3 linked regions of the Drosophila melanogaster genome follow. The protein of the gene in region 1 interacts with the protein of each later gene in a pairwise test. Each region holds a gene or a part of one and is shown in the gene's direction. Other genes may lie near its edges.

Region 1 (3,758 bases):
CCCAAAGACCACTTACGCTCTCTGGGACTTGCGCATCTCGCTGGAGGACGATGTCGATGGTGAGGACAAATCCAGCAGTGAGGAAATCAGCTTCAATGACATTGAGTCCCTTGAGGAGCTGCCCCCTCAGCTGGCCTTCGACCCAGGATTCACCGCTGCTCCGAACTGCCTGATCTGCGAGGAGTTGGTTAAGACCTTGGAGAAGCGTATGGGCAAGCACCCCACCAGAGACAGCATCAAGCATATCCTGGAGGAGTCTTGCGACCGAATGAGGAAGCCAATGAACACTAAATGCCACAAGGTTATCGACAAGTACGGCGATAAGATCGCCGATCTGCTGTTAAAGGAAATGGATCCCAAGCTTATCTGCACGGAGTTGGGAATGTGCATCCTGGCTGATCTGGATGATCGTGAGTATTAAATTCTAGAGCTACGTTAAGTATACGTTTAAACTAATGAATTTCATTTTCGTAATACAGTCGAAGTGGATGAGGCTTTGAAGTACGACGTGATTGCTCTGCCGCGCCAGGACAACAAGCTGTCTAGCAGCATCAAGGAGCCGCCCACCTGCGTCCTTTGCGAATTTATCATGACCAAGTTGGATGCCGATCTAAAGAATAAGACCGAACAGGACGACATTAAGCGAGCGATTGAAGCCGTGTGCAATCGCCTGCCAGCCACGGTGCGCAAACAGTGCGACACCTTCGTCGATGGATATGCCTCTGCGGTCCTGAAATTGCTGAGCGATGTGCCGCCCAAGCAGGTGTGCCAGAAACTGCAGCTCTGCTTCAGCGTGGCCGTCACCGATGAAGTTTTGGAGTGTGGTGTGTGCCATGGAGTCACCCAGGCTCTGTTGCCCTTCCTGCGCGAGAAGAAAGATAACGTATCCGAAGTGACAGCCCTACAGATGACATCGGTGGGATGCGAGAACTTGCCAGCCAAGTACTACAAGATCGTATGTAACTTACAATCCTGAATGTTATAAATATCTATAAGTTCCTTTGCGTTGCAGTGCTCTGAGATGATCTCCATCTATGGCAGTAGCATTAAGAACTTGGCCAAACGACCCTATATTGATCAGTCGCATATTTGCGCCGAGATTGGCAAGTGTTTCGAAAGCGAGAAGTCTTCGCTGGCCTTTGCTAGAATTTCAGGTAAGCTATAGGTTGAAGGACCCAAACAATACATTTACTAATTTACTATCTTCAACAGCCTAAGTGATGCGTTGTGATGTACGAACCAGGCGCGGAGGATTTGAAGGAGAAGGGACCCGATCCCACGCTTTATATATGCATATACCTTTACATATATCTGTTTACATTCTATAACGATTTACTGTAAATGAAACATAATTACTTACTTTTCGTTTTGTACCCCGGTTTTTGGCTCTAAATTTGTTAGGTGAATTTGTGATGAAACTGAATTTATAAACGCACTCAAACGCCGGCTGAAAAAAGTTAAACTTAACTAAACTAACACTTACACTAAGCAGTACCCTTATCGTAATTTCAACATAAAAATTAGCGAAATTCACGAGCCGCAAACTTTGTATCGATATCCCCATGTGTCCGAAGTCATTTGAGCAGTGTGTGTAGTTTAAGATATCAAGCAAAACTGTGTAAAATACGAACATTGATCTTATAAATCATACAGAAAACTTAAACCGACATAGTAGCACATTATTGAAAATTCCCAATTCCCCTTGGAATAGTATATATTTTCTAGCCGACATGTTTGAGAACTCCCTGTTTATCATTAAGCCGGACTATCTGCACAAGCGGCGTCCGGTGCTCTTAAAGTTGCTGGCCGAGGGCTTCCAGATTCAGGGTAATCGACGGATTGCCTTTTCGCCAGAAACTGCCGCCGAGTTCTATGCCGATTATGCCGATGAAAAGGGGTTTATGCTGGAGGTCATTCTGCTTTCGAAGGGTGTTTCCGAGGCGTTCATAGTTACGAAGGAAAACGCCGTGCAGGAGCTGCTCAACATCATGATTTGTTATTTGTGAGTTTGCTTTTAAAATAAAATAATAAGTTCTCTAGGTACAATTTGACTTTAAGTGGTTCGGCATCGGATCTGGAACGCAATATCCATGTCACCAAGAACAGTTACAGCGTGGCTCGTGAGATAAACTTTATTTTTCCCAACTGTAAGTAGCGATACAGAGATTAATAAAGTAAAAAATAATATATCGAATTTTTCAGATATTCACGAGCCCCATCAAATGTTCGACCACAACAACTTCTGCAACAGGCCGATGCTTAAGCCGCTGCTCGAGGAGATCTACGACATAATGCAGAACACCGACTGCAGCCAGGAGAACTGGAAGGTGCGTGTTTCCGATTACCTGGTGCGCAGCAATCCAAAGATGCCGGAAATCAGCAACCAGTGCCAGCAGCGACCGGATGTGGCTATCCAGGACAAATCGCAGCAGACCACCATGACCTATGCTCCGAAGCCAAGTGCGCGGGCCGCGCAGCCGGGAGTCAAGAAAACGCAGAGCAGCAGTGCACCCTTGTCCACCACATCCCCGCATTCCTCAATGCTGCTCTCATCGTCTTCCTGTGTCACCTGTGGAGGCTTCGAAAGATCTCAGCCCGGTATTTCGGATCTGGACCTTAATAAGCGCGTAGAACCTCATGACGAGGAGCCAGTCTGTGTGGACGAGGAGATTTTGTGGAAGGAAGTTATTGTCTACGAGGAAATCCAACCGGAGGCTGAGGAGCAGGAGTCCAAGGAGGACCTGCACGACCTGGAGGAGGAAGGCGTAGGCGAGTCTGGGGGCTCAGATGCGGAGTCAGACCGAAGTGTTCATGAAGCTCCACCGCCACCAGCTCAAGATGACGAGTCCGAAGAGGGTGACGCTGCTGCTGGGGAGCCAGGCGAAACTGCTCCCGCTCCTGAAGTGGCTCCTCCTGCCCAAGAGGCTACTGCTGCGCCTGAAGTCCCTGCAGTGGCTGAAGAACATCCTCACGCAGCAGAAGCTCCCGCAGAGGAAGCTCCACCAGGGGAATAAGTTTGTTTCACTAGTACACCTGTTGCCCCCATCATTTGTTTGGCGAAGCATAGAAAAAATGGACTAAAATGCGCGCAATTTTTGCATCACCAGCCATTGCACCCGTTGAACCACCTTAAACTGGCAATTGCGCACTCGCAGAATTTTGGGAGGAGGGTTTAAAATGCTGGTCCTGCAGTTCTTTATTTGCCCCTAAAAAGTGCATCCCACACGGCAGGAAAATCAACAGGAGCAACAGCTTTTTAGCCTCCAATTTGCCGCTGGCCAAATGGCAAAGTTTTTTCGCCCCTTTCAAGTGTCCAATAAAAAAAATCGTTGTAAATTAAAACAAACAATGAAATCAAATTAAATTTATGGGCCAACTTTCGGTGCAAAAGTGTGTGTTGCATATGGCACACTTTTTCGCGGGGCAAAGTGGCCTGCAGTGGTTGCAATTAACCCAATTAAAGAACAACAATAGGTTTCGCCTGGATTATTTGGATTTCAGCGATTTACTTTGATGGAAGGAGTAATCTAGATTTGGGTTGTGCTTTAATGTACACCTTAATATGTACTTTTGGTAGTCAAGCCAAGTAATATTTAAGCTGCATCGAGCAGGCTAAAATCCAATCGTATGATTTTATACATATTTAAATGATTAAAGCAGCGCATCAGTATTTTGGAACTGATAAACCAAGACATCTCCACTGATCCTTGTTGATCCACAGGCTTTGGATTCAACACAAAAATGATCTATTTAAAGTT
Region 2 (3,758 bases), on another chromosome or scaffold:
TCTGATTATGGTTCTGATTATTATTCCAATTATTATTCATTCTATTTGATGTTTAGATGATGTTAGTTTCTTATTCTGACACTTTGCCAAAACATTTGGCAAGTCTAGTAGGTTTAGAGAAAAGAGTAAAATAAGGAATTAAGAATTCTAAGAGCGTTACTCCTAATTGTTCTATTCATTTCCTTGGTTATTTCTCTGTCATTTGCATATGTCATTAAAATTTTTGTTATGAGTAAAGCAATTTTCTTGTTAACTTTGTTGTAGAATTCTGTAATGCTTTAGCGCCCCTGTCTAAGGATGCATAATTCAGATTCGAGAATATGGATTGGCCTTTAATCTTTATAAACAAAATCCAATCTGGAAAGAATTGCGTTAAAGTTTAAAACTGTATCATGGTTAGTTAGAGCATCATGTGTTGCTCCCATGATTTTATAACGTAGTATTGGTAAACAGATAAGATATTGTTCACTTCGAATTTTATATAGACCCATGACAGTTTCTGCCGCTTCTTACTTGCCTAGAACTCTCAACTTTGGTAAAGATTTAATTACCTAAGCGGTAGTGTCGCACTTTATAGTTGGGTCAATTGTTTGCATTTTATAAACTCTACTACATTTCTGCTAGCGTTTAACTGCCCTTCTGTCCCTTCAATTTTTTTGGTCACTTCTCCCAATTGTACATTTTTTAATCGGGTAATTAATTCCATTTTCAGATTCATGGCGCTGGTTGGTGCTGAACCTCCGGTTACCATTATTAAATTTAATTTTCAAAACTATTAAATTTTCCAGATTGTTTTCTTTAATTAATTGATACATTTGATGTTGAAATGTTTAATTTTAAAACTCTATGGTATTCCTTATAGCTTTCTCTAATTTTATTAATTTCTTTTAAAGACTTAATATTAATTTCTGGTCACGATACATTTTGTTGGAGTCTTATTAGGTCCTTTAGGTTAATTGTCCTGATTATTTACTGTCAATTGTTTGTATTTAGCTGGGGCGGGGGATTACCATCAGGTCATCCTTTCTTCTTGTTGATTTTTTTATTTTTGGGATATTTTCGGTAATAGTTTTTGGCTTTTTGTTTCAATTGTCTTTCTTGCTGAGTCTGATTATTATTATTCTTGTGTTCTCGTAGTTTGTATTAAGAATTTAGTCCACATTTTTAAATATAATATTCTTAGTTGGATTATTGCATTTATAATTTCCAATTAAGTTTTTCCACGATCACTGCCACAGTAGTTAGATGTCGTTGGATTAATGTGGATGTTTTAAGAATGTGAGTGGTTAGCGGCGCGAGTTTCGTTTTATATTTAACTTATTATTGTTAATATTTTTTTAGAACTTTTGAACTACACCGCTATACGTTGGGCGCTAATTAATCGTCCCGATTCAGTCTGATTTTTAAATCTTAATCCTAATCCACTCAACCTCGGCCAGAAGCTTTTATTTAGAATTCTCTTGAACTTTATACTGAAATTATTTCACAGCATTATGAAATTGAAATTTGCTGACTGGTGTTTACGTTAAGTTTGGTCATTTATCGGATGGTTAAGTGCTGGCGACAAAAACAAAAACAAAGGAAATGCTGCTGAGATCGGGGTATGAAATTTGTTTATCAACAGAGCAGGGTGCTATATTTACGGGTGGGATAACTTATATGTATTGTAATTAATCGCACATGGGGCGGTTATATATACATACAACTTTTATTTTAATAAAATTGAGTTTCACGTTATCAGATGCGCTGAGCTGATATCTTACTTGTAATCTCAGGTATGCAACATAAAATAAATAAAATAAATAGCTATTAGATAATGAATATATTCTGATTCACTCAAAATTACTTTAATATGGCAACTTTTGAAAATTTGATTATAACTAGAAAAAATAGCGCTAAAATTTGGCATTGTTAAGATTTCAATATTTTAGCGACAGTCCCTCTCTTGTATAGTTGTTGTGTTATCTAACAGGAGCATTCTAATTTTCAGCAAAACTGTGGACGGTATGCATATTTAAAATCACGTTGTTCTATGGTATACCATGTGGTATAGACCCACTCTTGTCCAAACAGGCCCTTAAAATATAAATTGAAATCGATGGGTCGTTTCCATATCGATATTTTCTCAAATTTTTGAGCTGTCCAAAACAATAAATACATACATTAAATATACCTTTAATACAATACATTGAAGTCAAAATACAATTTTAAATTGCTAATCACTATTTCGCCGAATTTGCATAAACGCATGAGAACTATGACCGACTAAGCAAGTTATCTGAATGCAGTAGCTGAACCCCGAAAGCTAGAGAACAAAAAGTATAAATGTCGGAATCAATGTCAGGTGATCACAAAATTTTATTAAAAGGACATTCCTCCCAATATTTAAAACTTAATGTTGGTGGTCATTTATATTATACCACAATTGGAACACTGACGAAAAACAATGACACAATGCTGAGCGCAATGTTTAGTGGTAGAATGGAAGTGCTGACTGATTCGGAAGGTTTGTTACATGTTCTTATACGGAATAATATTAATATACAAAATTCTAGGATGGATTTTAATCGATCGCTGTGGAAATCATTTTGGTATCATTCTTAATTATTTAAGAGATGGCACTGTTCCATTACCAGAAACTAACAAGGAAATTGCAGAATTGCTTGCCGAAGCCAAATACTACTGCATTACCGAGTTAGCTATTTCTTGTGAACGGGCACTATATGCTCATCAGGAGCCAAAGCCAATTTGCCGCATTCCACTTATAACTTCACAAAAGGAAGAGCAGCTTTTATTAAGTGTTTCTTTAAAGCCGGCTGTTATTCTTGTGGTTCAGCGGCAGAATAACAAGTATTCGTACACAAGTACATCAGACGACAACTTATTAAAAAATATTGAATTATTTGATAAGCTTTCTTTGCGCTTTAACGAACGAATTTTGTTTATTAAAGACGTAATTGGGCCAAGTGAAATCTGCTGCTGGTCATTTTACGGACACGGAAAAAAAGTAGCTGAAGTGTGTTGCACTTCAATAGTTTATGCAACTGACAGAAAGCATACTAAAGTTGAATTTCCGGAAGCTCGTATATACGAAGAAACGCTACAAGTCTTGCTTTATGAAAACCGCAATGCACCAGACCAAGAGCTCATGCAGGCAACGTCTTCAGCACGAGTAGGAAGTGCAAGTGGAACCAGCATTAATCAGTACACAAGCGATGAGGAAGAAGAACGCACTGGACTAGCGCGATTACGATCCAACAAGCGTAATAATCCGTCCTGATTTACAAAACTCTATTACATATGATTGACATTGTTTTTTATAAACGATTAAAAAAAATATATATATGTTTTCTTTTCTTAATAAAACTTGCTATTTCTGCTGTGTGGTCTGCTATAGGTGTAGTTGAAATAAAATGGTTTTTTTTTTGGTTATCCTGTTAAGAAGAAATTCCGTGTTTTCCACATATGCGTTAATAAGCTTTCCTTCCCAAGCCAACTGTAGAACGATGCTTTGTTAAGTTGATAGTTCCGATCATATTAACTAGAAATGACATTCCCTTTGCACTGTACACCTAACAGTGGATTGCATAAGCGCTATTCTGTTCCGAAAATTACTACTACTGGTTTAAAGTTATTAATAAAACCTCTTCAGTTCAAAACTAAATATCACGTTTTATCAGCGATGTTTTTTAAATTTTCCGAAACATCGATGTTTAATTTAGACTATCGATGATTTTAGGATCATCACTATTCGAAGA
Region 3 (3,758 bases), on another chromosome or scaffold:
CCCTGGGCTTCAAATGGAATGACACTCAGTACCAAGAGAAGGACTATTGGCAGCTCCATGTCGTTGTTCGTCCGCTGGTAACGCGCTCAAAGACGCAACTAACTCGTTGCGGTTCACGAGACATCGATGTTTGCCTGCCAAAAAATAATATTTTACATGGGTGCGTCGCAGGTTTCACTGGAAAACAATTTGCACTTTTGTTTGTGGAGTCGACAACAAAAGCATTCACTTGTCTAAGACTCTCTCATTCATAACTCGCACTTTAGTTCACTGAACCGCACGCAAAACTTTGGGGCGGACAACATGTTTTCGAGGTGCCAAAAGCTTCATAAAACTACCAATCCATTAGATTAAATTCCAGGCGGTACATCTTTTGGGGATGATTCATGTGGCAGGGGTTCTCTACTCGTTTACAATCATATCATCATCTTCAAGATCATATAGTTTATCATATCAGTAGAGTACTACAATATAATGCATAAACTAAGCCAAATAACTTTATGACGCGTGCTTATGCGAAAGTAAACTTTATTATCAAATTTACTTAACCGTGAAATCAAAACCTTTATATAAACACGAATATTATTATCTTTGCTAAATAAAACTCTCGCTTAACAAACAATGACACTTCAATTCCAACATAGAGTTTATCTTAAGCCAATAACCAAAAACGGAACTTACATAACTTGCCAACAAACATATGAATATAGCTATTTCGGATCGTGGGAGACCATTATGCATACAAGGCACGCTCCTAAAAACCGTGTTAAACAAATATATGTCAAATGTATATCTTAAAAAAGCGCGCACATATCTTTTGAAATATCTTCACCCAGAGTATGTATGAGATTAAACTGGATTAGCACTAAGCCACAGCTTCTGTAGATAGAAATTTTATGCAGAGAGTAGATTATTTGGCTGCTGAGCAATTTGACCACCACAAGATAGCAGAGAACATCTGACATTTTCTATATCCATATAATAAAACTGACTTAACACTAAGCTGAAGTGGTATGTTTAAATCCTCCAGCTAATAAATCGAGACTAAACGCCCTATCTTATAGTGATATATAATAGTATCTATATGTGTATTGTCATTTACTGTTTATGAGTATTTGAAAAAACCATTCTATATTTTATAGGTTAGTTAATAAATATTTTGATATACATATGTAGATTGGCTCACACGTACTTATGACCCACTACATAATAAAATTGTTTTGTTTTTTAATAGAATAATGGTTTATAAAAAGTTTAGACTCACACGGAAATGATAAACTCTTTGCAAATACAGCTTTCATTTTATTACAAATTGCACTCTTTCAGATCTGCAGTTGCTATGCCAACCTTTTATTCCCTTTACTAAAAGGGTATACTAGGCTTACTGAACAGTATGTAACTGGTAAAGTAAAGCGTTTCCGATTCTATAAATTATATATCTAAACTTTTGATCAGTCGAATCCATCTGAACACATTCTGTCACATTAGATTATTCCAGAAACTCAACTTAAACATGTGTATTTTTTAAGACCATTATCAAGGATATTAAAAATGGTCTCCTAAAATTTAATAAACAAAAGTGTCACATCAAATTTAAGACGTAAATTAATATTTTTTTTCTATGGTGAAATAATTGTTATTTTCCAATGTTGTGAAATAATAAATGTATCTTTTCAACGCACACATTTTCAAGGTTTTAATAATAATAGTGACTCGTGCGTGAATAAGAGAGAAATTAAGATTTTAAAAAAGAATAAAATTCAGAGATGTGATCTGTAAAAATTATTTACCAATTTTCATTTACCCCCGAAAGTGATGCTAATGGTTAAAACGGCATTTGCGACTTATCTCCTACGTAATATTGCAAAAATAAGGATTTGGTTAGATGAGTGTGAAGTAAACAAGATGCAAAGTTTTGGAGATAGAAAACATAGCCTTGAGTCTTGGTCATGTTTACTTGGCACCAGGCCGCGATTATCAGCGCTACTAGTCGTAATTTGAGTTAGACCTTTAATACTCTAAGTGAGAGTGATGATATACGATTTCCCAGCCACTTGCTTTCTACGAAATGCGCTAAAAAAAATCCCTAACTACACAAAGATTTGTGTTGTTATCCAGGTGTTCTGATATAAAAGGCGGCAAGGAAATTGATGGCATCATCAGTATCAAAGTGAGAGTGATTGCAGTCACAATGTTTGCCACGCCCCTCAGACAGCCAGCTGCGGCTAACCACCAGACCCCAAAGAATTCCGCCGGCATGGATGAGCATGGTAAGCCGTATCAGTACGAGATTACCGATCACGGATACGGCAAGGATGCGGTCAAGGTGCTGCATGTCAGCCGCAACGGACCCGTGCACGCCATCCAGGAATTCGAGGTGGGCACTCACCTGAAGTTGTACAGCAAAAAGGATTACTACCAGGGCAACAACTCGGACATCGTGGCCACCGATTCGCAGAAGAACACCGTCTATTTGCTGGCGAAAAAGCATGGCATTGAAAGTCCCGAGAAGTTTGCTCTGCTCCTGGCCAGGCACTTTATTAACAAATACTCGCACGTGGAGGAGGCGCACGTTCATGTGGAGGCGTATCCCTGGCAGCGAGTTTGCCAGGAGGAGACCAGGACCAACGTCAATGGGAAGTGCGAGAACGGAGTCCAAGGGAACTGCGACTTCAGCTCCATTGACAACAGATCACTGCACAATCACGCTTTTATATTCACGCCCACCGCTCTTCACTACTGCGATGTGGTTATAAGGAGAACAGGTTAAGTCAAACATAACTAAAGCAATAATATTTAAAACTACTAAATTATCACCTCCTTTACTGTTTTAGATCCCAAACAAACGGTCATCACGGGCATCAAGGGTCTCCGGGTGCTGAAGACGACCCAATCCTCGTTCGTGAACTTCGTGAACGATGAGTTCAGATCTCTGCCAGATCAGTATGATCGCATCTTTAGCACCGTGGTGGATTGCTCCTGGGAGTACTCCGATACCGAGAACTTGGACTTCCTCAGGGCCTGGCAAACGGTCAAAAACATAATCATTCGTAACTTTGCTGGCGATCCGCAGGTGGGCGTGTCCTCGCCCTCCGTTCAGCACACCCTGTATCTGAGTGAAAGACAGGTCCTGGATGTCCTGCCGCAGGTGTCGGTCATTTCGATGACCATGCCAAACAAGCACTACTTCAACTTCGATACGAAGCCCTTCCAGAAGATTGCACCCGGCGACAACAATGAAGTTTTCATCCCAGTGGACAAGCCACATGGCACCATCTATGCCCAATTGGCCCGGAAGAACATCAATAGTCACCTGTAGATCGATCTCTGATGTAGTAAATCTAAATCAATCTAAATCAATTTAGCCAATTCATAATTGCATGCGGCGAAGTTATATATGTATTTTAAATTATTTAAGCAAACGAATCATATGCTGCGTTCTTCTTATTTAAACAATAATAAACTAATAAAAAATAAAGTGTAAAAATGAATAAATCGATTGCAAAACCATATTTCGAGATCACCCTTGCCTTGGCTGAATAAATCCAAATTATATCAGAACTATTTTCTAAAATCCTAAAATGAGGCATCGTTCATAAAAAAAAATATATAAAATAAATTCCACAATTTTCGACCACTTTGGCAGTCAAAATTCGCAATCTAAATTCGAAATTAGCAAATAACCATTTAGCCACAAACAGCGTGACCATGACCAATCGACTGGCCTTGCACCACATCCTGACCACCCAGCTGCGAAG

What was found.
Region 2: the proteins of CG15547 (region 1) and CG10465 interact in a two-hybrid assay, tested with the Drosophila melanogaster proteins (one large-scale study listed by BioGRID).
Region 3: the proteins of CG15547 (region 1) and Uro interact in a two-hybrid assay, tested with the Drosophila melanogaster proteins (one large-scale study listed by BioGRID).

What each region holds. Positions count from the first base shown.
Region 1 is NT_033777.3:30,881,372-30,885,129, reverse strand, and holds CG15547 (uncharacterized protein), read left to right. Parts: upstream 1-1,626; 5' UTR 1,627-1,730; coding exon 1,731-2,002; intron 2,003-2,058; coding exon 2,059-2,147; intron 2,148-2,202; coding exon 2,203-3,014; 3' UTR 3,015-3,338; downstream 3,339-3,758. Other genes in the region: Sap-r (Saposin-related), read left to right, coding at 1-410, 480-955, 1,013-1,154, 1,213-1,217.
Region 2 is NT_033778.4:5,339,310-5,343,067, reverse strand, and holds CG10465 (uncharacterized protein), read left to right. Parts: upstream 1-2,072; 5' UTR 2,073-2,325; coding exon 2,326-2,506; intron 2,507-2,555; coding exon 2,556-3,280; 3' UTR 3,281-3,362; downstream 3,363-3,758.
Region 3 is NT_033779.5:7,777,927-7,781,684, forward strand, and holds Uro (urate oxidase), read left to right. Parts: upstream 1-2,158; 5' UTR 2,159-2,191; coding exon 2,192-2,765; intron 2,766-2,834; coding exon 2,835-3,319; 3' UTR 3,320-3,489; downstream 3,490-3,758. Other genes in the region: CG7179 (uncharacterized protein), read right to left, coding at 1-59; CG7164 (uncharacterized protein), read left to right, coding at 3,709-3,758. UniProt on the Drosophila melanogaster protein: Catalyzes the oxidation of uric acid to 5-hydroxyisourate, which is further processed to form (S)-allantoin.